4 linked regions of the Tamandua tetradactyla genome follow. The protein of the gene in region 1 interacts with the protein of each later gene in a pairwise test. Links are inferred from orthologs where the notes say so. Each region holds a gene or a part of one and is shown in the gene's direction. Other genes may lie near its edges. The genes, in order: EFHC2, LONRF1, CLIC3 and COPE.

Region 1 (8,008 bases):
CACATGGACTAGTCACAAATATTGATCAAATATTAGGTCACAAAGAAAGCATCAGTAAGTTCTACAAAATAGAAATGTTACAAACAATAATTTCTAAACATATGCAATAAAACTAGAATTGAAAGAAAAATAAAAAAACAAAAAGAATAACCCTCTTCGAACTGGAAATTTAAAAATCTTCTATTAAACAGTTCTTGAGTGAAAAGGCAAATACGAGTAAAAAAATTATAGAATATCTAAGAAAAACCCAACAAGTAATAAAAACATTACATATCAGAGTCTACGAGATATGTTTAGAGATCAGGGGAAGGTTCATAGCCTCAAGCACTTATATCAATAAAGATAAAAGAATGAAAATGAATTATATTGCAACTTATAAAGCAAGAAAAAGAACAATAAATGAACGAAAAGAAAGCACAAGGAAGAAAACAAGGTAAAAGCAAACAATAATGAGGATTAAGAATAGAAATGAATAGGTCAAATTAATAAGTCAAAATTCTGATACTTTGGAAAAAAGTATGTGTAGATAGGTAGATAGAAAGATAGATAGATAGATATACCACTAGCTACATTCATCAAACCAAAAAAGGAGAAAAACAACTGTATCAAATAAGAAAGACAAAGAAGAAACAAAGATGAAGAATAAAAGTTTAACATGGAATGCAAACAGAAGTGAATGATTCCAAATGTTTTTCAGATGAGTAGTATAAACACTTTAGCTGGTGTGGGGGGAAACTGGGATAGAGGGCAAAGGCTAACCTAAGTAAATTTTGAACAAAATATTATGACTATATACACTAAGATGAAAGAAACAAACAAAAAAACACTGAGAAAATATTAAACTCTAGTTATTCACTTATTTTTCACAAGAATGTGAGTTAGATGTTCTGAAACTGCTTCTTGGGTCTTCTAGTATTGAACAAGTAGGTAAATATTTACCATTCTCCACTAAAAGGAATCAGTGATACTTGGAGAAATGGCTTATTCCAGGGTTGGGGCAGGGAAACTACCAAATGAGCTGGAATAGTATCTTATAGCATCAAAAAGGAAGTGCTCAAAAAATAGTGGGGATGATCAAAAGAACACAGGAGTCAGCTTCAGAGGACAATCTTGGACAATTTTAGAATCAAAATAAAGAATACTAGCGGATTATAATTCACTGAATAAAATAAGAATCTGTGAGATCACTTTGACATAAATAAATGGAGAAGAAGGAAAACTCTTCCTTGTAGGAGAATGTCAAATATAATAATATATGTAGAAGGAGTGATAGAGTTAGTCAATCACCATTTGGCAACTATCATGGTAATAAATGATTCAGGAAAAATAATTAATTGATACTAGTAGTTTAATGAGCAACTTGATATTTATATAATTTCAAAGTATCTCCTCACAAAATTCTTATTGATTAAAAAGGAAAAAATTGTAAATGTTACAGTGCAGGAACTTGGCATGCATCTCCTTCACCAAGTGATCACCAATGATGTTACAAATAGACATTATGTGCTTCTTCATATGATAAACTAGAAGGACACAATACTCCTTCCGTGGTGTCCCAGTCCAAAATTCATCACCTGCATGTACTCAATAGGAAACATTAGTCAAACCTGAATTGATGGATGTTCTACCAAATATCTGGCCTATTCTCGTAAAAAATATCAAGGTCATGAAAGTTAAAGAAAGGTTGAAGACTATTATAGATCAAAGGAGAATAAAGAGACATGACAACCAAGTGCAGTGTGTGAACTTTGATTACATTCTGAACCAGATTTTATGTATTTCCGTATTTACTGCTAGAAAGGACGTTATTGAGACAGTTGGCAAAGTTTGAGTGCTTTTTAGGTTAGAAAATGGCATTGTATTAATGCCAATTTTCCGATTTTGGTAATTTCACCTCAGTGATGTGAAAGAATGCCCTTGATCTTAGGATATATACACTGAATTATGTAGGAGTAAAAGGGCATATCTGCAACTTAATCTCAAATGGAAAAAATATGTATATAGGGAGAGCATAATACAACAAATAGGGTAAAATATGAAACAATTGGGGGAATCAAGTGAAAAGTAAACAGGAGTTTTTTATATTATTCTTTCAACATTTCTATAATGTTGAAATTATTTCAATTTAAAAACAAACAAAAATAAATATTTAAAGATGTTTGTAAAAAAAGTAGGAGAATAACTTCTTTAGGAGTAGTACAAGATTTCCTGATTTCACATACAAAGCACAAACCATAATGGTAATGAAAGATGCATTTGAATAGAATAAAATATCAAATTTATGTACAATAAATGGAATTAAAAGACAAACTACCAATAGTGAGATTTTTGCTATGCTTAAAAGCAGTCATCGAGGACATAAAAAAGCTAGAAATAAATTAGATAATCACAAATTTGCCAATATAAACATCAGCAAAAGATCCTGTGCTGGTTTGAATCTGTTATGTACCCCAGAAAAGATATGGTCTATTTTTAAAATTTATTTATTTATTATTAATTTTTAAATTAAAAAAACATAATAAACTAATGCAAACATTCTTATGATCATTTCGTTCTACATATATAATCAGTGATTCACAATATCATCACATAGTTGCATATTCAACATCATGATCATTTCTTGGAACATTTACATCAATTCACAAAAAGAAAATAAAAGACAACAGAAAAAAATTCATACATACCGTACCCCTTACCCCTCGCTTTCATTGATCACTAGCATTTCAAACTAAATTTATTTTAACATTTGTTCCCCCTATTATTCATTTTTATTCCATATATTCTACTCGTTTGTTGACAAGGTAGATAAAAGGAGCATCAGACACAAGGTTTTCACAATCACACAGTCACACTGTGAAAGCTATATCATTATTCAATCATCATCAAGATACATGGCTACTGGAACACAGCTCTAAATTTTCAAGCAGTTCCCTCCAGCCTCTCCATTACATCTTGAATAACAAGGTGATATCTACTTAATGCATAAGAATAACCTCCAGGATAACCTCTTGACTCTGTTTGGAATCTCTCAGCCATTGACACTTTGTCTCATTTCACTCTTCCCCCTTTTTGTCCAGAAGGTTTTCTCAATCCCTTTATGCTGAGTCTCAGCTCATTCTAGGGTTTTTCTCAATCCCTTGATGCTGAGTCTCAGCTCATTCTAGGATTTCTTTCCCACGTTGGCAGGAAGGTCCACACCCTTGGGAGTAATGTCCCACATAGACAGGGGGAGGGTGGTGAGTTTGCTTGTTGTGTTGGCTGGAGAGAGAGGCCACATCTGAGCAACAAAAGAAGCTCTCTTGGAGGTGACTCTTAGGCCTAAGTTCAAGTAGGCTTGACCTATCCCCTATGGGGTTAAGTTTCATATGAACAAACCCCAAGACTGGGGGCCCAGCCTTTGGTTGTCCGCACTGCTTGTGAGAATATCAAGAATTCAACTTGGGGAAGTTGAATTTCTCCCCGTTCTCATCATTCCCCGAAGGGGATTTTGCAAATACTTTTCCACTCACTGATCAAATCCCTGTGGGATTCATCGGGGCATCAGTCTGGACAAACCAACAAAATCTCATGTTCTACCCAGGATTCCAAGTAGTTTGTTATATTTATACTTTAATGTTCATGAAACCAATAAACCAAACCCAGGATGCCGGTAGCCTTTCCTCAGAGAAGGTATCTTCCTCTTGATGTCTTAATTTGGACAACAAAACAAACGAAAGCAAAAAAGGCACTATAGTTCCTGCCCTTGGAGGAACTTGGGGGAACATATGATTACAACATAGTGGGATAAAAACCACATTATGGATCAGTCCCTAATACACATAAGAGGTGAGCTGGAGAAAGTGAGGGAACATGTCACAGAAATGGTAGAGTCTTCTATGTGTCTCTCTTACACTGAACCAAGTCTTGAAAGACATGAAGGGATTATGCAAGTGAAAGATAGGCAGGAAGGGTGTTTCAAGCAGATCATGTTATCTGCAAAACCCCAGAGGAGTTGCAGGACCTGATTTGGAAATTACTAGTGATTTTTTCGGAGCTGGAATAGGAGGGATGGCAATGAAAGGGACAGAGAGAGTATCAGCAGGTATCCTCTGAGAAAGGCTCTTTAGATCAGGTTAAGGAGTTTGATTGCCTTCTGAAGGTGGAAGGAAGGATAGACTAGTTAAATGGTAGAGTAACAGGTGCATCATGAATTACAAAAGTATTAAATGATGGTTTTGAAGGCAAAATCAGTTAGATTATTATTTTTTTTTTAAAGAAGAAAACCGGGCAAGGAAAAATAGGGGCTCAACTGAGATCAAGGAAGTGGTAATTAAAAGCTACTAGAATATCCAAATAGTAGGACTTGGCGAGGCATTAGCTTTAAGTGTGGGGAGAGGAATCGCGGAAATTCCTGGCCTTGGGCATCTTGGGTGGATGGAGTGATGGGCTGCCTTTTGTGCTGCTTCACCCCACTGATTGGACCAAGAATGAGCATCTTACTTACAAATGTTTACTTCAAATATAAAAATACACAGGGGAAGGATTGAGGATGGTGGCTAATGAATAAATTTTCGTGTGGGGGATGGGTGGGGTATGTGTGGCTTTAGATTCATCTAGAATGTCTTCCATTAATTAAAGCTGATGCAAGCGCAACATAGGAAAACATTAATGTATGTTAATTCTCAGTCGGTACACGGGTGCCATATTATTTTCTGTATGTTTGACCTATTTAATAACTCAATTTCAGAACCAAACGGTAAAAAATATTGTGGCAAGGATGGAAGGTTCTTAAGTACATGAAAGGCTTTGGGATCTATAAAAGTGTTAAACCAGAAAGCGGCGGGGGCGGGAAGTGGTGCGGTTGTCAGCCTTTGTGTGTGCACAAAGCATTGACTGAGAAAAAGACTCTGGAGACCTGCTCTCGGCTGAGCGCCTGTGTGGGTGGGCGGGGCGGGGCGGGAGGGAGGTGGTGAGTGAGGGGGAGGTTCTCTCTCCGCCCCCGCCAGCCTCGCCCCACCCCCTCTGTGACACCGCCTCCCGTCTCCAGGTAACCGATGGGCCAAACAACGCGGCCCTAGGCGGCCGCAACCTGAGGCCTAGAGGCCGCCCCTCTTCTCTCTCTCTCTCTCAACCCTCCGACGCTCAGAGCCATGACTCTGCCGCTGCTGCCCGGCAACAGCTTTAACCGCAATGTGAGTAGCTAGGGAGCCGGTGTCAGAGCTCCGGCCCAGGCTTCCTGCCGTTGGTTCTTCTCCTGAGGGTTGCCTCAACTTTATAGCCTAGTGGAACCCTTACCTCTTCGCCTACACCCGCTCCCCCCTCCCCCAACTGCATCTGGGGGCTTTTCCTACATCAGATACATGAGTCCTAACAGGTGGCAGGACCCTTGAAGGTAGTGAAGACGATAGTGATGATGAAAATACTTAAGAATTACTGTTGAGCGTTTAAGATGTGCCAGGCACTGTTCTTTAATCGCCTTACGCGTCATCTGATGCTCCCAACGGCCCTTTGAATTGGATGCTATGTTGATTCCCATTTTACAGTTCAGGAAACTGAAGTACAGAGCGACCTCACTCACTGGTCCAAAGCTACACAGTCTCATAGTCCAGGGAACCTAATCATTTTCCTCAAATCACTGTGTGAACGAGATAAATATAGTACTTGTTAGTAAAGCGAAGAAACCTCAAGGGGGCTGAAGGTCAGGGTGGCATCCAAACGTGGAGAAATTTTTCTTTATTCAGAATCGGGAGGATCCATTTCAAAGCAAGATGAAGGAACAAAACAAAACACACACAAAAATCCTTGGGCGTTGATGAACTTCTGCCAATAAATAACACCTTATTTAAACAGCAGAAGAAAAGTGCTTGGGACTTTTGTCTGCATTGGTCACTACTCTTTACTTGGTTTTGCCAGTTGTGTCTGAAGGAGAAGGTAACTAATAGATCAATGGAAGAGAACTAAATGAAACCCTTCCGGATATTTACTTAAACCTCTGATAAATTTAGAAACCAGGTGGCCAATTGAAGCATTCAGCTTTATGTGTTCAGGACAGTGTATCCAAGTTGTTAGCCCTAGAGTAACCCCCTTCTTTGTAGCTTTAGGCCGTTAGATTCTGACCCCTACATAGGGTCTGCTCTTTCTGACTTGTACTGATTTGGGCATTTCTTGGCTGATGGGGAGAGGCTGGCCATTCAGCATAGCATTGGCCTTTGGTGGTATTAAGCCAGTCCTTCAAATAAGAATGGATCCGGGGAGGATGGGTATGGGGAAAAAAAAGAGTTTGGAAGTAAAGAAGCATGCTCTGTAAAAGAAATGATTTTTAATAAAGATTGAAAGTACAGCCCACAACTTTTGGCCAGACAACACTTCGGATTACTGCTGCACCTCATGCAGAAGTATCATAGCTTTCATATAGAACATTAAGTGTGGGAAAGAAAAGCAGTGGTTGGATGTGCTATTTTAAAATTTGCAAGGCTGTATGTACTGAGTGTACTTTTGCTTTTTTTTTAACTTATTATATTGTGTGGTACAATATATGTACAGAAAAATACACAATGGATGATCACAAAATGAACATTAAGAAATAGTACATTACCAGTACTTCCGAATTGTAATCCATAACTAGAGTTGCCAGATTTAGCAAATAAAAATACATGTCCCAAATATGGCATGGGACATACTTATATTAAAAATCATTTATTATTTATCTGAAGTTCAGATTTAACTGGGTGTCTAATATTTTATCTAGCAATCCTACTTCTGATCTTTTCTGTTGATCATTCTATCCTCACTCTCCAAAGATAACCGCTATTCTGGTTTTTATAACTATGGTTAGGTTTTACCTGCATTTGGACTTTCTACAAATGAAAACATCTGGTGTTTATTTTTTTCCTGACTAGCTTTTGTTGCTCAACATTATGTTTATAAGGTTTGTTCATGTGGCTATCTGTGGAGGCAGGTAGTATGTTTTCATTGCTCTGTAGTATTCCACTGTGTGAACAATGACATCATTTGTATATACATTTTACTCTTGATAGATATTTGGCTTGTTTGGGGTTATTAAGAATAGTTCTGCTCTATTCCTGTTCATACCTTTTGGTATAATTGCTGGGTCATGTGGTGTTCATATGTTCAGCTTTGGTAGACACTATCAGAGTCTTTATACCAATTTAAATTCTCACCAGCATTTTATGTTCCTCTTGTTCCATATTTTTTTTCTAATATTTGATATTGTTATTCATTTAAACTTTAGTTATTTTGGTGGGTGGATGTAACACAACTCTCTGTAGTTTTAATCTGCATTTTCCTGATTCCTAATGAGACTGAGCATATTTTATACATCTATTGGTCATTTGGATACTCTCTTTGTGCAATGCTTGTTTGTCCCTTGTCTAATTTTCTATTGTTTTTTTTTTTAATGAATAATTTTTCCTTTAGGTTAGTGCTTTCTAAGCTGTTCTCCCATGTTATCTTCTGGAAATTTTGTTATTTTACCTTTAGATCTACAATCAACCTAGAAGACATTTTGTTTGTGTGTATGAAGGAGGTGGGGTTCAGGTGGTAATTTTTATTCATATGTATATTCAGTTGTTTTAGGACCATTTTTGGAAAAGGTCCCCCTTTCTCCACTTCTCTGCAGAACAGCCTTTGTCATTAATCAAGTGCCACAGGTCTGTTTCTACACTCATGAATGTGCTTTAAAAATAAACACAAAAAACCAGAGGATTATTTACTTTATTCCTGAGGCCAATGAAAGTGTGTGTGTCCAGAGAATGAAGAGGGTATTAATTAGATAGATACCTTGGTCTGTCATTCAACCAATTAATATTTATTTGTTAAGCGTCCTAGTATGTGCCCAAATCAAGTGGCTGCGTTTTAAAAATTGTTGCATTAGCTTTGGTACTAAATGTGATGTATGTTGCCCCCCAAATAGTATTATTTTTAAAACTTTTACTTAGTTAAAGGATTGGATGATCTATGGGATAGAATGGTTAGAAAGGTAAAGCCAAATCTTGACTTCTCATCTCCC
Region 2 (7,921 bases), on another chromosome or scaffold:
ATCAGGGAGCCCACAGGAGATGGAACCAGAGATGTTGGAAAGTGGGGAAAGATCCAGAGTTGACTTCTGGGGATGGTAAGGACTCTGGATTTTCTTCTGAATGGAACAGGAAGCAAATACTGTGTTTTGCAGAAGAACATGGCTTCTGTTTTAAGATGATCACTCTGGTTGCTTTGTTTCTGCTGGAACAAAGGGGGGTAATGAGAGAAGCTGAGGCCATTTAGGAGGACGTTGCAGTAGTCAGGTGAGAGATGATGGTGGTTTGGACCAGGGTGGTATCAGGGGAGGGTAAGAATGCATCAGATTCGGTATATATTCTGAAGGTAGAACCAGAAAGATTTTTCTGGTAGACAAGATATGACTATGAGAGAAAGGAGAAATGGAGAAAATAAATTTTACTAGTGTGTTAATGATAAATTAATTTGTCACTAAAAAATAAAAAATAAAGATGAAGAATAATACTAGGTGATATTTTTACTTTTTCTTTTTTTTTTTTTTTTGGAGGCAGGGGGAGTCATTCAACAAGGATTATTTAGTATCTTTTCGCTTTTCAGTGTCCTAAGTGCCTAGAGATATATGGGCAAACAAGATGGGCAGAAGTCTGAGCTCTCAAGGAGCTTATATTTGGGGGTAAGGGTAAGGGGTGGGGATTGTTGGGCAACCAAGGAACAAGGATAGAGAGTACCAGGGGAGTTCGTTCCTGGTTATTCTTAGAACATATTAAAAATAATTTATGGGGTTATTCCTCTATTTTTTAAATTTTATTTTATTTTTTGGCATGGGCAAGCTCTGGGAATTGAACCCAGGTCTCCAGCATGGCAGGTGAGAACTCTGCCACTGAGCCACCATTGCCCACTCTATTTCTTTTCTTTCTTTCTTTTTTTTTTTTTTTTGCATGGGCAGGCACCGGGAATTGAACCCGGGTCTCTGGCATGGCAGGCAAGAACTCTGCCTGCTGAGCCACTGTGGCCTGCCCTCTATGTCTTTTTAAGAGCTTAATATTGGAAAATACATTCATCTGATCAATTTGACCACCAAGAAAATCTAGATGACCCACTTAGAATCTCTAGATTCTTCAGCGTATTAGGAAAGAAGAATTAAGAATGGAGCCCTTAGTAAGTCCCTGTACTTTGAAAGCATTCCCCCGTGGGGATAGCAGGTTTTAGTAATGAACAGTAAACTGTCCTTGGCTAGAGAGTAGACACTGTAGCAATTGGGTTTGGCCATCTACTTCCCATCACCTCTATTTAACCTACACAGATTGTCCTCATTAGGGCTTTTCAAAAACTTAGAACACCGTTAGAGCAATCATATACTGTATATTTTTAGCATCTTACATAAACTTTCCCCCAAATGCCCAAGTTATATAACCCGCCTCCACAGGCTTTCCTCCAGCCTCTCAGAGATTTACAGTAGGGGCTAGCAGATATGTGAGTGTGGGGGGAGTGGGGGGGGGTGAGTATGAGTGGGAATGGGGGTGGTCCCTGTCCAGTGACTGAAAGTATTCATGTCCCAGAGATTGGTTTCTCCTCCTCTGAGCAGGGTGGTTGGATGCTAACACACTGTGCTTCTTGGTGCCCTCAGCCCTCACCCTCTGCTCTTACATTCCCATCAGGTGTTACGCTGCTCTGTTCCAGAGTCGGAGAGATTTGCTGCCTCTTCTCATTGTGCTCAATAAAATCCCTACAGCGTCCCTCCAGCGGCGGAAGGGACCTTCAGAGATCTTTACAGTTCCTTCATTTTACAGGCAGCAACTGAGGCCAGGAGACATCAGGTGACTTCCTCCTCTCCATTCTAGAGCCATAAATATGGTCAGCAGATTCCCTACCCAGTGGGATTTCTGTTAAACCAGCAGCTTCTCAGCTCTCTATTCTCTCATATATATATATGTGTGTGTGTGTGTGTGTGTGTGTGTGCGCGTCTGTGTGTGTGTGTGTGTGTGTGTGTGTGTGTGTGTGTGTGTGTGTGTGTGTAGGAAGGTGGACTCTAATGCCCCTCCTGTCTGTATCTTAGGTTTGGGTATATACCGATTAAACTTTAGATTTTACTGTTTTCAGTGCATTGTGTAGAATGTTGTTAACCGAAATGAGTCAGGGTGAAGACATACATTTTGCTTGGCTCTTTAAAGGCTCTTTAAAGCTTCAATTCAGTCTTTTTTAATGATAAGAATGTGAAGAAAAAATGGTGAATTCACCCACATGAAAAAAAAAAGGTTCAAATATACATCTTAATCTAGCTTATGTATAAAAAAACCACTGTGTTATGTTATTAAATAGGAGTTTACCTAACTATATCAGGAAAAGTCTCCTTATGGTGTGGGGGTGGAGCTGGGATAAAGCAGGGAATGATGGTGATAAGCAGTTTCCAAATTAGGAAACAGATACGTTTTTCTTCTTACTCTTACATAACTGATCTCATTTTAGAAGACACTAAAAAACTGAAATGAAATGCAAGTCTCACAGCTTTACTATTTCGTGAGCAAAGAATGACAGGGGCAAGTAATGCTTAAAAGGAAAAGAGAGGAGAGCTCTTTGCTCCTTCATACTCCTTACCGTCCAGAGGCTAAATTGCAGGATTCTTTTCTCCATCTCAGGCTGCAGGTTGAGTCAGAGATCAAAGTCTAAATTTTAGACAATGAGTGAAAAAAAGATCATTTCTCTCTCTCCTTTGAATTTAAAGAGAAGCTGCATTAAAGTGCCTGTATATCCCTTTTTGTCACACAGAATGACAGAAGAGTGACCTGTTGTACTGCCGGTGATTGCTTTGCCCCAGACTTCCTGAGTCAGAGGGAATTTGTGCGGCACACAAAAGCCACAGCAGCAGTACAGCCTCTTACATAAATAAGTTACATAAATGAGAACAAGTTATGTAAATGTATAAACCAGCAAACATGAATTACAGCCATTCACAAATGCCAGGGAGAATAGAGCAAGATTCCTCCCAGCGTCCCATTCTTTTTCACACATTATCATAATTGTGCCATTTTATTTTATGCCAGAATTAGATTTGGTTATTTGTCATATTAAGGAAAGCAACTCCAAAGGACAAATGATACTACCCATTATTTTCTGAACCACACATTTTACATGGGGGGGGGGGGATATCCCACAATAAATGTGTGTGGGCATCTGACTAAAATCTTTGTTCTGCTTATTGAGGGAAGGTAGTAATTTAGGGGGTTAGGATTAAAGGTTATGCTCCTGAATTAATCATGCCCACCACCTCCCACCACAAATGATTAGGAATTGTTTTTTTGGACCATAGCTGCAATTTGTTTCAGGTACAATGTGCATGATAAATGAACTTGTTTGCCCATGCATTCTTTTGCGACAAGAGCCTCCGTTTTTCCTCGGTGAGCTCTTCATTCTCCTCCCCACTGGGGGTAATGTAGCTATATCTTCTCTGAAGTTACTTGATTTGCTCATTGTATAAGAAAAACAAGTGTGACTCAGAACAGGCTTAACTGTTCTGGATAAAGAGGTATATTAATTGTTAGCCAATTTCACACATAATAGGCTCAGTTTAATATCCCAGCTAGCAACTTCCTTTACCTTGGAAATTCATGAAAAACTTTTCTAAGAATTAACATAGTATTGTAATAATGGGATAAGAGCTGACTTTAAAGCCTTTGTACTCTTCAGATGGATTGTATGGCGTCTGAATATATCTCAATAAAAATGCATTTACAAAAGGGAAAAGAACTGTTAGTATATTAACTGTGTGATTTTGGGCAAATAACTTTCCCTGTCTGGGTCATTGATTCCCGTTTGAAAAAGGACTAAAAGTTGTCTTAAGTCACTTCCAGCAATGGCAATTTAATACTTTACAATCAAAACTATAATTATTTATAACTGAGACCTGTAAATGCTGCTGCTAGTTTAAAGGAAATATAGCCCTATATATATATATATATATATAAATTTTTCCTTCTGACGTCAAAACTGCGGACCTTGCTTCAGTTGTAATGATATCGCAACTGTCATTTGAAAACCAATTTTCCTGGTGTTTTCCCTTTTAAAATGACAAATATAGACATTAGCCTGCTGTGGGGCAGTGATTGTGGCATGCGAAGGACAACGGGCATCCTCTTTGGCGTGGAAGACGGGTTTTAAACAGGAAAGAGCAGTAACTTGCACCTGGAAAAATCGCCTCGCTCTCTGGAAGGAGAGACTTCTTAGGAATGTGGGTGGGTTTTGTTTGTTTCTAAGGTTGACCGACTCTAGACTTGAGTCACAAAGTCACCAACTGAGTCTGAGCATCTCTAGGCACTCCGCCTCTACCTGTCCATCTGTAGCTTGGGGCATAAACTAATGAAAATGCAGACCTGCACCTGACAATCAAGACACCACCCCGCAGCCTCCCACTCATCAGGCAGAGAGGGCAGGTCCCCACCCAGGCGGGTGGGTCAGGAGAGGGTCAGCTGTCTGAGCTTCAGAAGAGCGCCCACCAAACAGGGGCTGGGGAAGAAGAAAGAGGAGAGGCCCTGGCAAGTGGGGTGCGTCCCGTGAGAAGGCAAGGGAGACGGAGATTCCGAGCTCCTTTGGGCTTTGTTCAATAACAGCAAGCCGGGCCCTTCCTTCCGGGAGAGGCCAATTACGTCCCCGCTGGGGGATCATCTGACCTCTCTTCCTTCGCGGGGAGGGGGTCTGGAGTGGGCGGGGCCAGCGAAAAGCTCCTCCGGAACCGGGCCGCGGGGCGGTGCGGAGGAGTCCCGGACGCCGGAGCCCAGCCAGGCCCCGCCCCGCGTCTGGCCCCGCCCCTCCCAGCCCCGCCTCCCGGGCTTCCCGGGCGCGCGCCGCCCCGCCGTGTCCGCGCGCCACGCCCCCCTGCCCGCGGGCCGCGTGGGAGCCGCGCGCTCCGGAGGCTCCCGGACCGTGGCGGCGGGCGGGCGGCGGCGGCGGCGGCGGCGCGGCCCTCCCGGGGCCATGTCTTCTCCGGCAGTAGCGAGGAGCTCCCCGGACGGGAGCCGGGAGATGGCCCCCAGGTCGCGGAGCCGGGCCGGCTTTTGGGAAGTGGGCGGCGGCAGCGGAGACCGGCTGGAGCGCGCGGCCGCGGAGTCGGAGCGCTGGGAGCTGCTGCTCCGCCGCGGCGAGCTGCTGGCGCTGGGCGGCCACCTGAAGGGAGCGCTGGAGGCTTATTCGGCGGCGCTGCGCCGCGGGGCCCCGGCCAGGCCCGAGCGCCTCGGCACCCTGGTGGATTGTCTGGTGCTCAACTACCGGCTCCGCCACGGGCTGGGCTGGAGCGCGGCCCCGGCCGCGGGAGCGGACGCCGGCGGGCTCCTGAGCTGTCTGGGCTGCCGGGGCTTCCTGAGCGAGCCGGTGACCGTGCCCTGTGGCCACAGCTACTGTCGCCGCTGCCTGCGGAGAGAGCTCCGCGCCCGCTGCCGCCTGTGCCGGGACCGGCTGCCGCCCGCCGCCGCTGATGCTGAGGGGACCACCCCGCGGCCGCCGCCTCCGGCCGCCGCCATCGCCGCCTCGGGCTTCAGGACCAGCGTCGTCCTCAACCACCTGGCGGAGAAGTGGTTCCCGGGCCAGCGGGAGCGGGCCCAGGCGGCCGGCCGGCTCTGGGAGCTCCTGCACCAGGGGCGCTACCGGGAGGCCCTGGCCGCCGCCTGCGAGGCGCTGCAAGCAGGTGACCGCACGGGGATGCGGCGCGGGCCGGGCCGCCGCCACCCTCCCTTCCCCGACAGAGCGGGTCTCGGGAGTCTCTTCCGCCCCACTGAGGTGCCCCGGCCTCCCCGAGGCCTCCCGTGGGCCGGGTGTCGGGGTCCTCGCGGGTGTGGGAGGGGGCGGCGCCCGGGAGTGCTTCGGTCACAATGGGGATCGCCTTGCGAGCCGACTGTGACGCGGCGCAGGGAGGGGCGCCCCGGCGCGGGGTTCCCGCCGCTCTGCGCTCGGGCGGGCGCGTCCGGAGCGGGACGGTGCCCCGGGCCGAGGCCGCGCGGCCGCGGGATGGGGTGGGAGTCGGGCGAGCCGGGGCAGCCCCTCGCTTCCTCCCGCGCTCTTTCCGGTCGTCAGCCGCGGCCTCCCGCCGGTGGGGGTGGGGGTGGCCGGGCAGGGGGGATGGGGTTGATGATAGTGGGGCCGGGAGAGCTCCCCGGCCCGGGCAGGGCGTGTAACGTTTACCACCTTCTCCCACAAAAGTCACCCAGGCAATTGGAAGCCGCGGGAGGGCACAATTGCATAAGCTGGGGTGGGGGTGGGGGTTGTGTAACGGGTGACGTCGGGGGGCGTGGCGGGAGCTCCGCGCCCGCACCCCCAGGCCCGCCCGCCAGCCCGCCGCTGGGCTCCCGGCGGGGTCCGACCTGCTCTGGGACGTTCAGCTCCTGGCTGAAAATGCCTTCAGAGTTGCCCCTTCTCTCGTAGGGTTCAGCCTGCCGATTTCAAGTCCAATTTCTGTCATATTCATGTGTACCTGCGCGCTTGTTTTCGAATCCACTGAGTTGGTCGTAAGGATAAAGAGTCTCTGGTGGAGTTTTGTGCCTTGCTTCTTTTTGCCTTTCCAACCTTTTTCAAGTCTTTTGTCTCTTTCTTCGCCTCCAGGGCGCCGCTCTTGCTTCAGAACTCATGCTTTTCTTAAGGTGTTTTGAAACTGTGGAAGGAGGCAACGTCGAACGGCCGCGAGTGAAGTGAAGAGCTACTCCTTTAAATAAATTGGTTGTTCTCAACGAGGGGGGATTTTGCGTCCCCCGTTTGGCGACTTCTGTGCACAATTTTGGAGGTCGCTACTTGGGAGGGGGTTGGTACCTAGTGGGCATCTGGTGGGTAGAGGCCAGTGTTGCTGCTAAACATCCTATAAGGCAATGGACAGCCCCTCACAACAAAGAATTATCAGGCCAAGATGACAGAGGTGTTGTTAATAAAGAGGCTAAATTAGAATTAAATAAGAATGTTTCAAGATTTTAATGTCTATATAGGTATAAAATATTACTTGGGGGAACAATCGCCAAGAAAATAGACATTTAAAATATAAGTTAATGTTAGGAACTAAGTAAGTTTATAAACCATGTAACTGGAAGTTTCTTGTTATGGGTCTTTCCCTTAAGAGCTTATTCATTTTGAATTAGTGACAATATCAAGTTTTTTAAATACCTTTAGAGTTCAAAGCACAAACCCAGCATATTTTCATATTTTTTCAGCATCTGTATGAGGAGTAGGCAGTTAAAAAATTGAACAGAGTGATAGTCCTAGAACAAAAGAAATTTGTAGTACAGGATTCTGGTGCAGAGAACTTTACCTCTCAGGGTGAATGGAATAAGAGTTGGGAAACTGGACTTGGCTGTACAGATTATCTAGCAACTATCCATGGTCTTCATTTTTAAAATGAAGAAGCAGAAACCAGGGCAGAGAAGTAACTTGTTCACAGCCACACACTGGCTGTTTTCCTAAATATTGCTGGTTCAGGAATTAAAGCTGCCTTTGTAACTCGCCCAGTGAAAATGTTTAATATACATTTCCAAGAATTTCTTTTGACACTAGTACAAAATTGAAGATGAAACGTATTGAGAGCATTATTTAGTATTAGCTACTAATTTAATCATTAGAACCTCAGGTTAGGTCCTTTTTAAGTATTCATTTCCTAGCCCATGGGAAAACAGTGAAGTGTATTTACTAATTAAGGTCTAGTTTAAAGTTCTATGAATAAAGAATTTTTTTTAATTGATGAAGATCCTGGATCTTGGATTGACAATATTATTTTTCAAAAAAGGCCTGAGAGTTCTACACTTCTCTCTCTTTAAAATTTGCATTGGCTAGCAATGGAAATTTTGCCCACTCACCTACTATTCTAGTTTGCTAGCTGCCGGAATGCAATATACCAGAAACGGAATGGCTTTTAAAAAGGGGAATTTAATAAGTTGCTAGTTTACTGTTCTAAAGCCGAGAAAATGTCACAGTTAAAACAAGTCTATAGAAATGTCCAA
Region 3 (7,291 bases), on another chromosome or scaffold:
AACGGGCTTGCCTGCTGTCCCCCAGGCCCAGCTTTCCTTCAACACGGACACACTCTGCTGACTACGAGGGGCCAGATCAGGACATGGCTAGGGACAGAAGTCGGGTAGAGGCTGAGGCCCCACTCCTGAACCCCCAGAGCCTGCCCACCAGGTCCTGGAGTTGGGGGTCCGGGGGCTATAGGCTTCACTACCACCCCCCACCCCATCCTCACCCCCTGCCCTGTGGTCACCTCGGCCTCCCACTCCCAACTGTGCCAAAGGCTGGCCCAGCCACGGGCCACACACCCTCACCCCGCTTTGCCTTAAAGCCTCGGGGCCCAGCCCAGCCCTGTGGCCCTGCTTTTGCCCTGCTCTGCCCATCACTGTGGGGCCTAGCCATACCACCCACGCTCTGTGCGCCCCACTCTCCTGCAGTGCCTGGAGCCTGCCTTGCTCTTACCCTGGATGCTGGCAGGCAGCCCGGCAGGGCCCGGAGCTGTGGGGCCGGGCAGGGGTGGCTGCGGCATTTCCCCTATTTATTTTGCATTAAGGAGAGGTTCCCTCACCCCACTTCAAGCAGGTGGGTCCTCAGAGGGAGCCGTGGGCAGGGGCCGGGGCTGTCTCGGGTGGGTGGCATGTGTGCCTGGAAGAAAAGAGAAGCTGGTCCTGCCACCAGGCCGGGGCCCAACACCGTCCCCAGCCCCCCTAGCCCCCCTTAGCCCCCCAGCTACTTGCCGCTCTCCCATCAGCTTAGCCCTCCCGCCGGGAGCCTGACCTGTACATAGCGCACAGATGTTTGTTTTAAATAAAAAACAAAATTGACCCCATCGAAGTGGTATGTGCAAGGTGGAGTGTTGGGGAACGGAGGGCCCCGAGGCTGGGCTGGAGCCTGGCCACCATATCTGCCCCATGGGCCCGTCCGGAATGTCTATCTTGGCAGAGGCAGCCCTGGCCCAGGGCCCAGCCGTGGGGAGGGGGCCGTTGGGCAGTCTGGGGGAGGGGCTGGAGGGCCATTGCCTCCACAGTGCTGCCCTTCCCACCCCCCTCCAGCTCCCTCAGGCTCCATGGCTGGGGCATCAGGGCTCTCTCACGCCAGGGAGCACCTGGGGGCTGCCACAGGCATCCCACCCACAGGCCTGGAGGCCCTGCTGCCCTCTTGGGGCACCAGAACCTGTTGCCTCCCTTGAGTCAACTTCCCAGGACCTGGTGCTTTACAGGAAAGTCAGCCCCGAGAGGGAAGGGCGGGGTCCCAGGAGCTGAGACGTCAGTAGAGGACCCCCCAGGACAGGGCAATGTGGACACGCACAAGGGCTGGGTCACCTGGTGGGGGCGGGGCATGGGGAAGGAGAGAGGGAGGGAGGGAAGGGTGACGGCAGACCCACACACTTGGGGCCTCGGGGGCCAAGGCAGCCCATTTATGGTCCTGAAGCCATGTCTGGAGGTAATGCTGGGGACTGCTGGAGTGCAGGCCGTCCCTGGGGTGGGGGACAGCCCCAGGAGGGTACTGAGCTGGCCAGACCCGTAGGGACCCTTACGCATTGGAGGGGCTGGGTAGGTGTGACAGCCACCCAAGAAGGGGCAGGTGGACCACCACCTTCGGCCTCCCTCCCTCTGGGCCGGGTATCTGGTGGTTTGGGCCCACAGGAATGCTTATTTATTCCATGGATGCCACTAGTGGGGATTTCCTAAGTGTTTCATCCTCTCTGCATTTATTAGCTGCCATTTTTCTCCCGAAGACCATTCCCCTTTTAAAAATGTCACTGCAGACTCATTTTTTCTTCCTTAAGTGAATATAATCCACTAGGGTCGATTTTATTGCTCAAGTTTGGCCCATGGGACCCCTTCAAGACAGCTTTCGTGTCCGGTGCCTATTTGGTTGAGCACTTCCTGAATTTGTTACAGGATTCCCAGGCGTGCTCCCTCCTCTCCTGCCGCAGTCCTGGATCAGCCATGTCTGTCGGGTCTCAGCCCTCTCAGCGGGGAGTGGGTGCAGAGCCTAGAAGCTGGGGCACTGGGTTCACTGTGCCTGCAGCGCCTGTTCCAGGTCCCCCAAGCCCAGAGCTGGGAGGAGAGGCGCCTACCCCCAACCCCCTCCCCAGGAACCCCCCTGCACCCAGGTCCTCCTTGCCCCCCTCCCAGCGTGCCTGCATTAACATGACGCTGGGGGCATCTACAGAGGGGTCCTTCAGGGGTTTTACAGATACACGAGACAAGTCCTGACACCTCAGGCGGCAGCCTCCAGCCCAGGGACCTGCAAAGAAGAAGAATGCTCAGATGCCAGGCCCCAGAGGCAACTCTGAATCCAGGGGAGGCAAGGCCCCTGCAGGATGAGGGGCGGGGAGGAGAGTGTGCTGAGGGGGGCAGGAGGTTTGGAGCTAAACGGACCTTGCCTCTGGTTGAGGTTGGTGACCATGAATTTCCTTAAAACACTGACGATGAAAATGTGGTAGAGAATTCAGCAATACCGATGGATAGAAGGTAAAGTTCACCTTCTGTGCTGCTGCTCAGAGGAGGTCACCGAGCTTCATTCAAAGTGATGTAGAGCTGGGTTCAACACTGTCCCCCCAATTCACATCCACAGGCACCTGAGAATGTGACCTTTCCTGGAAGCAGCATCTTTTGCCCATGTGATTGGTTAAATTCACGATGCCTGTCCTTAAAAGAGGAGAGACAGGCAGGGGGGTGAGGTCACCTGGTCACAGGAGTTGAGCCATGGTCCCAGCCCAGGTGCTTTGTTCCCGAAGCCCTAGGAGACGATACAGAATGATCCTAACAAGCCATTCCTATTTGCTTGTCTCCCTCTTACTGTCAGACGTGTGCTCACACAGGTGCCCGTAGACAACCTCGTGGAAGGGGGCTCGAGGACCTTCCAGGGCAGGCACAGGGGCTTCCGGGAGTCCGCAGCGGCGGGTGGCTCAGGCGCCCACGTGCAGCACCAGCGAGGAATCTTCAGGATTCCCAGCCGGGCCCACGCTAGCGCCTACGAGTGCACTCCCCAAATGCACTCTCCCACGTCTCTGCCAGTTGGAATGAGAAAAACTATCTTGTTCAGATGTTTCTTTTATATGTAAGGTGAAGAAACCTTTCCACATAGCTTGTTTCAGTTTTCCTTTTTTTCTGAAACACCTGTTCACATCATTGGCACAGCTCATCTTTTCTCTTACAGAGTATAATAAGAGACACGTATGTACCCCAAGGACAGTGGTCAGCAGTGCAGGTGCTAGGAGCTCAGGCTGCGACGGAGGTGGGAGACCAGAGGGGCGCCGTTTTTCTCCAACCACAGCAGGCACTTGGAGAGGAAACTAAGACCCCAGGGCCAGTCCTGAAGTGTAGGGCGAGCAGGGGCGCAGATCCCCCAAGACTCCTGATCTGGGAGTTGTGCGGGGAGCCCCACTGGGTCGGGAGGCATGGCGCTGGGGATGTCGGTCTGGGACATTCTCGGGGTCCTGGTTCAGGCGACGGGTGCCCCCGGAAGTGTGACTGCGGCTTTGCAAAAAGGCGAGTCTGGCAGAGTGGGCGGGCGAGCATAGGCCTCTGGAGCAGGCGCCACCGCGGCCGCCCAGTCGGGGCCTTGGCGTTAGGGCCCCCGGGGCAGTGCGAGCGAGAGAGAGGGCGGTGTCGCGGCGATCCCGCCTGTGGCCACCAGGTGGCAGCCGAGCCCCCGCAGCTCTCGGAGAGCCCCCGGGGTCTAACCCCGCCCCCCGACGACGGGGCTGGAGACCTCAGTAGGGGCGGATCTGGGCAGTGGTTTCCTCAAGCCCCCCCGGGAGACACGGGACCGCCAGGAGCCTGTGCTGACCTGCGGGCCCGCACGGGCCCCCTGTGGGGACTGAACACCCGGTCAGGAGATTGTGCCTCCTAACCCGTCTCCGGAGCTTCTTTCCGAAAGGGAAGAACAGGCTGCTCCGAGGGGCGCGAGGGTGGCGCCAGCAGGGGCCCTCCCTTACACCAGGGCGGGCTCTCCCTCCACCTCGCGGGCACGACTGGAATGCTGGCACAGCCCTGAGCCCGGGAGGGATAGGTACAGCTGGGACGGGCCAGACGAAGTCAACCGGTTAGAGGGGCGTCCCTCCCAGGTGGGCTTATCACTTTGCTAGTGGCCAGATCCCACAGATGGGGAAACTGAGGCAGAGGCTGAGATCAGGCATTCACGTCCCACCCCACCAGCCCCAATAAAGGCACCCTGGTTTTCTGGGCTGGGGGCTCTGACAATGGGGTATTCACTGCAGGGAGGATGGGGGGGGGCAGGAGCAGTGGTGTGCCTGATCAAGGGCTGAACTGCCCCAGGTGGCCCCGAGTTCCAGGCCACTGAGCCCTGTCCACCTGGCTCTTGGGCTCCCCTGTGGTCACGCCCACAGGTTCCAACAGCAGCCGCCTCACCGCCTTCCCCCTACTCACCCCCCCTCCTACTGTGGCTCCAAGGGGCGGGCCTGGGCCCAGAGGGCGGGGCAGCCAGAGCACCTTAAAGAGCTCCCGGGCCCCCGCCCAGAGCCCAGCGCCCTGGCTCAGCCTCCCCACCATGGCCGAGACCGCCAAGCTCCAGCTGTTCATCAAGGTGCTGGGCAGACTGGGTGGGGAAAGGGGCCGGGAGACTGGGGGTTGTGCTTCCTGGGCAGGCTTGAGAGGGGTCTCAGGGCAGTAACAAAGCCCCCACCCCTGTAATGAAGCTCAGGGCCTCGGGCAGGCCACCAAGGCTGAGTAAAGTGGGGACAGCCTGGGGGGGGGGGAATGCCACTTGGGAGCCCTCCTCTAAGTGAATGGTGTTCCCGCTCCCAGCTTGGCCCCGGGGCCTAGCTAAACTCTCCTGGAGGAAAGTCCCTGGTGGGAAGGGCCCCTGAAATGGTCCTCAGAGTTGGGGTCAGTGCGGCGGGAGGGGCAGGCCCAGGCAGCCCCCTTGACCCTCAGGCCAGCCAGTGTGTTCAGGGCCTGTGCAGGAGCTGTCAGCCTCTGGCCCCTGCCCACCCTTGAGGTGCTGGGAGTTAGTGCGGTGCCAGCCACGGAGCCCAGTTTGGTGGAGTGAATCACCGAGGAAACAGCTCACCGGGCCCACCCCACCCCTGTGACCTGCCTGCTGGGCCCAGAGCCCAGGGACCGGCCTCGGCCCAGGCTTTGCAGAGGATGGAGGGCCCAGGCTGTGGTCTCACCCCAGCCCTGGGCCTCTCTCCACTGCTCAGGGCCCAAGTCAAGGGCCCTCACCACTCTCTTGGCAGCCCTGGCCTTGCTCCAGTCCCCACTGGCCGCGGGAGGCACTTCCCACCCAGCCTGTGGCCAGACTCCCAGGTCGGCTCCTGGCCCTGACGCCCTCCTCCCGCCAACCCCAGGCCAGCGAGGACGGCGAGAGCGTGGGGCACTGCCCTTCCTGCCAGCGCCTCTTCATGATCCTGCTCCTCAAAGGTGTGCCCTTTACGCTCACCACTGTGGACACACGGAGGTGAGGCTGCCACCTGGGACATGCCAGCCCCAGCCGGGGAGCCCCTGCCAGAGCCCTCACGGCCTGCCTCACACCCCCAGGTCCCCTGATGTGCTGAAGGACTTCGCCCCCGGCTCGCAGCTGCCTATCCTGCTCTACGACGGCGAGGCCAAGACAGACACATTGCAAATAGAAGAATTCCTGGAGGAGACCCTGGGGCCCCCGGAGTGAGGGCGGCAGGGAGAGAGGGGCAAAGATGGGTCCAGAGAAAACAACCCGCACAGCCTGGGTGGGGGTGCCTGGGGGCGCTGAGAGGGTGGGCAGCCCCCTAGGAATGTGACGCAAGGCCCGCCCCCATCCCCCTCGCAGTTTCCCCAGCCTGGCGCCCCGCTACCGGGAGTCCACCACGGCAGGCAACGACGTCTTCCACAGGTTTTCTGCGTTCATCAAGAACCCGGTGCCGGCGCAGGATGATGGTGAGGTAACGGGGAACAGGGCTGGGAGAGCAGCCCCGGGCCTGGTCCTCACCGCACCCTCCACCCCCAGCCCTGTACCAGCTCCTGCTGCGCGCCCTCGCCAAGCTGGACGGCTACCTGCGCGCGCCCCTGGAGCACGAGCTTGCGCGTGAGCCGCAGCTACGTGAGTCCCGCCGCCGCTTCCTGGACGGCGACCAACTCACGCTGGCTGACTGCGGCCTGCTGCCCAAGCTGCACGTCGTGGATGTGAGTCAGGGCGCAGGGCGGCGGGCTGGGCACCGCGGAGGGTCTGCGCAAGGCCGTGACCCGCGCCCCTTGCCCGCAGACGGTGTGCGCGCACTTCCGCCAGGCGCCTGTCCCCACCGAACTGCGCGGTGTCCGCCGCTACCTGGAGAGCGCGCTGCAGGAGAAGGAGTTCAAGTACACGTGTCCTCACAGCGCCGAGATCCTGGCGGCCTACAGGCCCGCTGTGCACCCCCGCTAGCCACGCAGCACCAGCTTCTCTGCCCTGGGTGCGCTGGCCCAACATCTGAGGGACCAGAGGCCCTGAGATGACTGCTGCCCAAGCCTCCTGCGTGGGACAGTCACCTCAAGATGACCTACCCAGAATGCAAGGACAGGAGAGGCCATTGGTTGGGGAGAGCCCTCCACAGCCCCCTAGGCTCTCCATCAAGCAAACACACAGACTTGGGGCCTCTTGCATCCATCTGGGCTGTGACAAAAATTGCAAGGACCGGATTGGGCTCCCAAACCAGTCAGGCCAGGGCAGGGTGGGGAGGCAGGAGGGTGAAGGTGGGTGAGGAGCAGAGGCCCAGCCCCAGACACATCAGGGCTCACGGCCAGGTGGGCGGGAGCTGCCCCCCATCTTGGGGAGGGGACTGGATGGGTCAAACATGTTACCACATAGAACCTACACACTGGGTGCATTTACTTGTGTGTATGTGTGTGTGTGTGCTCACGTGGCTATGGCCCTGCTGGGGTGTGGTTTGGAAGGGTGGGGTGCGTAGGGCGGGCCGTGTGCCCTGGGGGTAGGAGCCGAGTCCCACCTGTTGGAAGACCATTAGCCCTGAGAGCACCGCCCCCTCAGCTCCTGGGCTGGCCCTGCAGGAGAGGTGGACAGATCTGGGAAAGCCGGATACTCTCCCAGCCAGACCCCGCCAGGAAAGCTCTTCCAGGAGCACAGAGCTTTGCACTATCACACTGTTTGTGGCCTGGGGCCCAGCCCAAGCGCAGGCCACAGGCCGGAGCTCCCAGATTCCCCCCCAGGCCAGCCCCCAGGTGCAGAGGCTGTTCCAGCTGCGAGGGAGCATTTATTTGATGGGAAGAGGCTTGAGGAGCAAGGTGGGCAGGAGGCAGTGGTAGGGTCTCCAGTGCTCCCCTTCCCCTCAAAGGCTCATTGTGGGGTGATTTCTGCTCTGCTCTCAGG
Region 4 (7,217 bases), on another chromosome or scaffold:
GTTGGGAAAGCAAGGGGGCTCAGGCCGCATCTCAGCACGGGGACAAGCTGGGTGTGGGTGGGCAGCGGGGAGAAGGGGCAGCAAGGATGGCTAAAAGCATGTTCCCAGCGGAGGGCATGGCCAGGGTGAAGTCCCCGTGGCTGGTGCGGGGCGCAGGGCCCGGCCTCACCTGCTTCATCATTGAGTGCAGGGCCACGGTGGGGAAGCCGAACTTGCGGAGCATCATGCACAGAACCTGGCAGGTCCTGGAGGTGAGGACACACCTGTCAGCCCCTCCCACCCCGTTCCCCCCAGAAGCCAAGCAGGGGGCCCCGCACAGCTCAGGAAGGGGGAGGGTGGCTGGTGCCGGAAGGTCTGCTGTCACCAAACTCTGCCACCCACAAGAAGGAGAGTCGGGAAACAGGCAGTGAGAGAGACCAGTCAGCATCATGTAAGCTGCTGGATCCCGCCGTACCTGACAGCCGCTCTCCAGCCAGCCCTTCACTTTTCTGGTAACTGATATATTTCCTTGGGAAACAGCCAGTTAGAAAGTCTGGCTCCCTGGCATAGGGTGGGGTAGCCAACCTGTCTCGTGCCAGACCAGCCTCTGGTAGGAGCCAATGTGAAGTAGTCTGAGAGGCCCACCAGCTAGGTACGGGCTGGACATCCGTGCATTAGTGACACCCTGGGCCATGGCAGCTTCCCCAGGGGGTTCGGGGCCTCAAGGGCTGCTTGGCAATAGAGCTGCAGAGGGGCTGAGGCATCAGCGGGGCCCAGCCTGCCCTGGGCTGGGTGACCCAGGTTCACGGCCCGACCCTGAGCTTTGCTTTCAGCCAACTGCCTCTATGTGCCCAGACTGTGCCCAGGCTCCCGGGACCTGCTGCCCAGCCCAGGGCTGTGGCCTTGGTGTGGCTGCTGGGGAGAGACCAGGGCGCTGGGGTCCCGAGGCCTGGGCGGGGCAGCCTGCTCACTTGCACGTGCGGGTGAAGATGACGATGGCCCAGTCCTTGTGTGCGTCATGGAAGGTCTGGACCAGGTGGACCAGGTAGGCGTCCTTGACCTTCTCGGGCACCAGCAGGTAGTGCTGCTCCAGCTGCTCCACCGTGCTGACCCTGGCATGGGCAGGGCCGTCGAGCTCAGTTTCTCTCCTGCCCAGCTCGGTCTACGGTTTTGGAACGCCCATGACCCCCCAACCATCCCTCCCACCCCGGGCCCCCGGGACGCACGGGGCCTGGGCCTCCCAGAAGAAGGGCTGGTTGGTGGCCAGGCCTTGCAGCTCCCGGAGCGTGTCGGTCAGCGTGGCGCTGAAAAGCAGCGTCTGCCGCCGGGCTGGCACTGCCCCGAGGATGGCCTCCAGGTCCACGGTGAAGTCGGTGCAGCCCTGCTCCAGCAGCCGGTCGGCCTCGTCCAGCACCTGCCCGGTAGATGGGGGTGAGGCCCATGAGCCAGGGCCGCCTGCCTCCTGGGAGCGCCCTCCTCACGCCAGTCTCAGCTGCGTGCGGCCCCGGCTGCTCGGTCCCCCAGGCTGCCCTCCTCTCAGTTCCTAACACTCTGCTGGGTGATCCATTGTTGCTGGGAGGGGGAGGGGGACGACACGGATCTGAGCCCCCCATGTGAAGGCTGAGCCCGGCCTGGGGCCGACGAGCCAGCTCACCAGGAAGCGGATCTTCTTGATGCTGAAGGTGCTGGAGCTGCGGAGGTGGTCGGCCAGGCGCCCTGGCGTGGCAATGACCACATGTGGCCTCCGGGAGAGCTCCAGGGCCTGGGCCACCATGTCTGTGGGCGGAGGAGGAGCGGGGGCTGGGTGGGGCTCTGAGGACGCTGGGGGTCCCAGGCCCGGAGACCCCCGGCACCCCCTTACCCATGCCACCGACGATGGTGCAGTCTTTCAGGCCCAGCGGCTTCCCCAGAACCCGGAACTGCTCAGCGATCTGGTAGGCCAGTTCCCTGTGGGTGCACAGGCACTGGACTGAGGCCAGCACAGCGCCCGCCCCTGCCGCCCGTCCCCACCCTATTCCAGGCCTCCTCCTGGCCTCCCAACTCATCCACACCAAGTCCCTTTAGCTCCCTCTAACTCCACCCAAACTGGCACCTGCCCCTACCCCAAACTTGCATCTGCTCCATGGTCCCCTTCTCAGTAATGGCCTCGCCAGTCACCCCCGCGCCCAAGCCAGAGAAACCTGAGCACCAGCCTCCTCTGCCCTGCCCAGTCCCCTCCTCCCTGCCCCAAAGTCCCAGCTCTACCCGGACCCCCTCCCTGGCTTGCGTCCTCTTCTCTGCTCACACCTCTCAAACAATTCGAAAGCCTTGGCCTGGCACTCAAGGCCATTCGTGAGCTGCCTCCACCACCTTTTTGTTATCTTTTCCTTACACCCCTGCATAGATACACTCGCGGTTTCTTTGGTCTACACTGCTTCATCCCCACGTGACCCTTTGGCATCCTTCACACAGAGCCTCCCGTGACCCCTCTCCTCAGATCCAATTAAATGCACACCGCCTGGCACTCAGCTTTCACTGCTTGTCACGGGACCTGTCCTTTTTTTTCGTGCCAGTCAATGGCTGGGTCGTACTGAACACTCTTATTTTTCACTGTATGGATCTCTGGACTTCTCTGCTGAGGCTCTGGGCTCGATGCCTGACCCCATTTTGCACATGGGAAAAGTGTGGCACAGAGCAGTGAAGGTATTTGTCCCAGAGAACACAGCGAGTTAATCACACCCAGGGTGTCCGTGGGGGGCTTACCTGGTGGGAGTCAGGACGAGGCAGAAGATGCCGTAGGGGTCCTCAGACAGCTTTTGCAAGATGGGCAGGACAAACGCTGCCGTCTTGCCGCTGCCTGTCTTGGCACAGCCCAGGCAGTCCCGACCTGGGCAGGGGAGGACAAAGCAGCAGCCACATGCTCCACAAACAGTTCCATGCGGCAGTTTAGGACAGCCGGCATTTAATAAGTAGTTACTGCAAACCCTGCTCCAGCCTGTATCCTTTAAGTTCCTGGCACGTGAGCAATCACCATATAAAGGAGAAACCATCACCAGTCCCATTAAATAGAGAGAGATGCTGAGTCTCATGGACTCGCCCAGGACAGAGCTGGTGACTAGAAGGACTGGAGAGAACTCATGTCCACCTGACCCAAGATGCTGTGCTGCTAGCCACCGCCTCATTCTCACTCGTCTGGAGCATCCGGGACTGGGAAATCTGGAATGCCCTCCCCCAACCTGCATCCTACACTCCACAGCGCTTCCTTCACTTTCCTTTTACGCAGGGCCTCAACTTGTTACACCCTAAAATATCCCCCCAAAGGAGCACTAGGCCTACACAAACAACTCTCATTTTTTAACAGGACACTGAGTAGAAAGACTGGGCTGAAAGCAGTAAAAAACTGAAATTCCCAGGACGTCTTAAATGGCAAAACAGAGTTAGGCAAGGAAAGTGGGGAGAAGGACGGTCAGGGGACCACGTGGTCCAGGATCCAGCACCAATTTTGACAGCCTCAGTTTCCTTTTTTGCAAAACAAAGACAGCAGGTCCCGCTCTGCCAAATCCCACAGTACTATTGACAAGTCACTCATCAAACCCGATCTGTGCTTCACATTTAGGAAAGTTCAGAGAGGTTAAGCCACTTGTCTGCAGACACGCAGAGACCGAATCGTGCAGTCTAAACGGTATCGCAGTCCTGGGTGCCTCCGGAGCTCAGGCTGGCCCGGCACGCTAAAGGCTGGTCCTCGCCTCGGGACCGGCCATAGGCAAAGGCTGCGAGAAGGGAAGGGGGGCGGAGAGAGGCGGAGGGTGAGGAGTACTCACCCTCCAGGATGGCGGGGATGCAGCCGAGCTGCACGGGCGTGGGCTGCTTCAAACCCAGCTGCCGACACTGTTCCACGAGCCACGAAGACAGCCCGAGTTGCGCGAAACCTGCCATCCTCGCCGCGAGCATGAACAGTGTGAGCCGCGCTTCCGGCGCGTGCCAATGGCGTCACGAGAACCTATTCGTTCATTGGTTACTCCTCCTTGGTGATCCCGCCCCCTTCAGCTTACTTGACCATTCCCGGCCTCCACCGCCTCTTTACCGCGTGTCCCCGAATGCCAGACCCCAGCTAAACTACAATTCCCGAGATGCCCTGCGAGAGGCCCTTGCGTCTTCCGCCCCCCCTACTTCGGCTTACGAGCCTCCCATTGGCTCAGAGCTCAGCCTCCCGGAACAAGGAAAACTACACTTCCCGGCGTGCTCCGCGGTGGGCGCTTGCTTCCGGCCGACGTGTCCCTCCGGAAGAGAAGCGAGTGAGACTAGGAGATGGCGCCCCCGGCTCCCGGCCCGGCCCCCGGCGGCCCGGGCGAGGTGGACGAGCTTTTTGACGTGAAGAACGCCTTCTACATCGGTAGCTACCAGCAGTGCATCAACGAGGCGCAGCGGGTGAAGGTGCGGCCGGGGCGTGGGTGATCGCGGGCCGCGCTCACTTCTCATAATTTCCCTTCGTCTCCTCGAGGCGGTTTCCCTCCGCTCGCCCCTTCAGAGCGCGCCGGGGCATTTCCGTTGTTCCGTCAGGAAACCCAAGGCGGCACCACTTCCTGTTCCTGAGCGCCCACTCTGCGCCCTGCAGGCGTTTGACTTAGGAGCAATGTGTAGCGCTCTAACGAGGGTCACGGTAAATAACAGTAGTAACAGCGTAACGAACCCTGAGTCCCTTTGCCGAGCGCCCGCTCAGTGCCCGCTGTGCGTTCACCACCTGTGAGGTGGGGATGTCTGTCCTCATTGTACAGTTGACAGCAGCGAGGCTCCGGAAGGAAAGTGGCTTTCCCGAAGCTATCCTGCCCGACTAGTCCGGTTGTTTCTCCCAAAACCCTCTCCTTCACTTGCTTGTTCACGCATTCATTCTTTATTGAGCATTTGTAGGTGTCTTAGTTTCCTTGGACTGCTGTAACAAAGTGCCACAAACTGGATGGCTTAAAACGACAAAGATTTATGAATTTATGAGGTCATAGTTCTGGAGACCAGAAGTCCGCAGTCAAGGTGTGGACAGGGCCGGGCTCTCTCTGAGGTCTGTAGGGGAACCTCTGTTCTGTGCCTGTCCCCTCGCTTCTGGTGGTGGCTTGCCAGCAATCCTTGGCATTCGTCCTCCTCTCTGTGTCAGATCCCCTCTTATGCAAACACCAGTCATGTGTACAGGCTTAGCTTAACTGTCTAATTCACCTATTACAACCTTATTTCTGAGTAAGATCACGTCCCAAGGTGCTCAGGGTTGGGACTTCAATATATCTCTTTGAAGGATGCCATTCAGTTGTGCAAGCATGGCTTGGTCACGGTGGAAGAAGCCAGCCTGGGCCTCTTTATTGTGATCCAAAATGGGGTGAATGAGGGGGAGGACAGAGAATGAGGTGGTTATAGCAGGAGTTTGCAGTTTTTTCTGAAGGCATGAGAGACTGCTGGAGCCCTAAGGCGACAGAGGGCTGAGGAGGAATTTGGACACTTGCCTTGTTTCTGGCACCTGATGGATTCACCTGGTTTCTCTGAGTCGGTGTCCTGGACCTTAGTAAGCTGTTAGGATTTGTGGAAACAACATTTGTGTAGTTGTTGTTCTGTGTTGCTGCTGAAGCAAATTCATACCAACTTAATGGCTTAGAATAGCACAAATGGAATATCTTACAATTTCCGTAGGTGAGACATCTGGCCTGGGTCTCACTGGGCTAAATCAAGGTGTAGACGGGGTATGTTCCTTTTTGGAGACTCTGGGGGAGAATCTGCTTCTAGGCTTGGGATGGTTATGTCAGTGTATCAATTTGGACAGGTTATGGTGCCCAGTTGTTTTGTCAATCAAGCACTGGCCTGATTGCTTCTGGGAGGGTATTTTCTGGATCTGAAGCATTAGACAGTTGATTGCATCTGCAGCTGATTGTGTCTACAATCAACAAAGGAGATTGCTTTCAGCAATGAGAGAAACCTCATCCAATCAGTTGAAGGCCTTGAAGGGAGAACTAACAGGATTTCTGCAGTCAGAAAGAAGAATTTCCACCTCTGCCTCAACCGGCTTCTCCAGGGAGTTCATGGAAATCTTCATTGCGTTCCCAGCTTGTGGCCTGCCCTATGGAACTCAGACTTGCTACCCTACAGCATGTTCCTGTCACGTATCTCTTAATATTTACATTTGTACTTATCCATCCTGTCAGTTCTGCTAGACCTCGGCTGACATGGGCTCGTTCAGGTTGATCCTTGTGGGACTGAGGTGTTTCCTGACTGCCATCAGCTGAGGCCACCCTCCTGCCACTCTCTGGTCCTCCCCCTCCATCTCAGATCCCACGATGATGCGGCAAATCCTTCTATGCTTGGAATCTCCTGACCTTTCCTCCTGCTGAATCCCTTCCGGGTCCCACTGAGCGAATTCCCTGTTGCACGTGTGGTCTGACGGGACCTCCCATGTGAACTGCAGAGCCCCTTCTGTGATGCGTCAGCTGCTTGCCGGTGCCAGGCTCGGGGTGCAGCTCTCTGGGGCCTTCTCTGGCCTCCCATCACCTCCCCTTCTGGGGCCTTCTCTGACCTCCCACCACCTCCCTCTGGGGCCTTCTCTGGCCTCTGGGGCCTTCTCTGAATCCCACCTCCCCGCAGTTTGGACGTGTTGGTTGTGTCTGTGTTCTGGGAGTGAAGCCCCATTGTAGACGTCATTTCCCCAGGACCCGGGCTCGCTGGCCCCTAGCTGTGGAACACAGGCTTCTGGGAGTAAGCATCGCCTGGCTGGTGCCTTGATTTTGGACGTCTCCTGACTCAAAACCGTGAGCCCGTAAATTCCTGCTGTTTAAGCTGGCCCAGTGTGGTGTTTGTTTTAGTAGCTGGGAAACAAGAACACGCCGTGATTGTGTTTGGCTCCCAGCCGGGAGCTTGTATTCCTCTCTGCTCTGCTCTCTCTGGGACGGGCCAAGCCCCTGTACTGCTTTGAGCCTCAGTTTCCCCTTCTGTCAGACGAGGTAATGGCACCTATATCTAGAGTTGTTTTGAGGTTCGGAGTCGCATTCAAGCTCACCTTCCAGGGCCCCCTCTGACATTGAAGTGAACTTGCCGTGCGAATCTTCTCACTTCATAACACGCAAACCTAATCTCAACCCCAAAGTGCAATGTCAGTGGGGCCCGTCCTGTGGGGAAGGGGCTGCAAATGCCCACTTCTCGCTGGTGGCTGCTGGTGGCTGGTCTCTGAGCCGCTGGCCTGCTCCATCATGGGGGGACACTGAAGACAGGTCAGCACAAACTGAGACCTC

Evidence for each region.
Region 2: the proteins of EFHC2 (region 1) and LONRF1 interact in binary tests that used the Homo sapiens proteins (3 or more experiments, as listed by UniProt). The two-hybrid records come from large-scale screens. The link is inferred for Tamandua tetradactyla from reciprocal best matches to the Homo sapiens genes EFHC2 and LONRF1.
Region 3: the proteins of EFHC2 (region 1) and CLIC3 interact in binary tests that used the Homo sapiens proteins (3 or more experiments, as listed by UniProt). The two-hybrid records come from large-scale screens. The link is inferred for Tamandua tetradactyla from reciprocal best matches to the Homo sapiens genes EFHC2 and CLIC3.
Region 4: the proteins of EFHC2 (region 1) and COPE interact in binary tests that used the Homo sapiens proteins (3 or more experiments, as listed by UniProt). The two-hybrid records come from large-scale screens. The link is inferred for Tamandua tetradactyla from reciprocal best matches to the Homo sapiens genes EFHC2 and COPE.

What each region holds. Positions count from the first base shown.
Region 1 is NC_135353.1:127,136,643-127,144,650, forward strand, and holds the start of EFHC2 (EF-hand domain-containing family member C2), read left to right. Parts: upstream 1-5,008; 5' UTR 5,009-5,129; coding exon 5,130-5,171; intron 5,172-8,008. UniProt on the Homo sapiens protein: Microtubule inner protein (MIP) part of the dynein-decorated doublet microtubules (DMTs) in cilia axoneme, which is required for motile cilia beating.
Region 2 is NC_135352.1:16,311,310-16,319,230, reverse strand, and holds the start of LONRF1 (LON peptidase N-terminal domain and RING finger protein 1), read left to right. Parts: upstream 1-4,909; 5' UTR 4,910-4,925; coding exon 4,926-5,631; intron 5,632-7,921.
Region 3 is NC_135328.1:131,001,219-131,008,509, forward strand, and holds CLIC3 (chloride intracellular channel protein 3), read left to right. Parts: upstream 1-4,413; 5' UTR 4,414-4,498; coding exon 4,499-4,534; intron 4,535-5,300; coding exon 5,301-5,410; intron 5,411-5,490; coding exon 5,491-5,616; intron 5,617-5,758; coding exon 5,759-5,865; intron 5,866-5,935; coding exon 5,936-6,111; intron 6,112-6,190; coding exon 6,191-6,349; 3' UTR 6,350-6,778; downstream 6,779-7,291. Other genes in the region: ABCA2 (ATP-binding cassette sub-family A member 2), read left to right, coding at 26-61; protein PAXX, read right to left, coding at 7,287-7,291. UniProt on the Homo sapiens protein: In the soluble state, catalyzes glutaredoxin-like thiol disulfide exchange reactions with reduced glutathione as electron donor.
Region 4 is NC_135337.1:95,906,747-95,913,963, forward strand, and holds the start of COPE (coatomer subunit epsilon), read left to right. Parts: upstream 1-4,205; 5' UTR 4,206-4,266; coding exon 4,267-4,392; exon of another isoform or gene 4,393-4,508; intron 4,509-7,217. Other genes in the region: putative ATP-dependent RNA helicase DDX49, read right to left, coding at 170-245, 951-1,091, 1,206-1,393, 1,634-1,755, 1,841-1,926, 2,722-2,845, 3,780-3,909. UniProt on the Homo sapiens protein: The coatomer is a cytosolic protein complex that binds to dilysine motifs and reversibly associates with Golgi non-clathrin-coated vesicles, which further mediate biosynthetic protein transport from the ER, via the Golgi up to the trans Golgi network.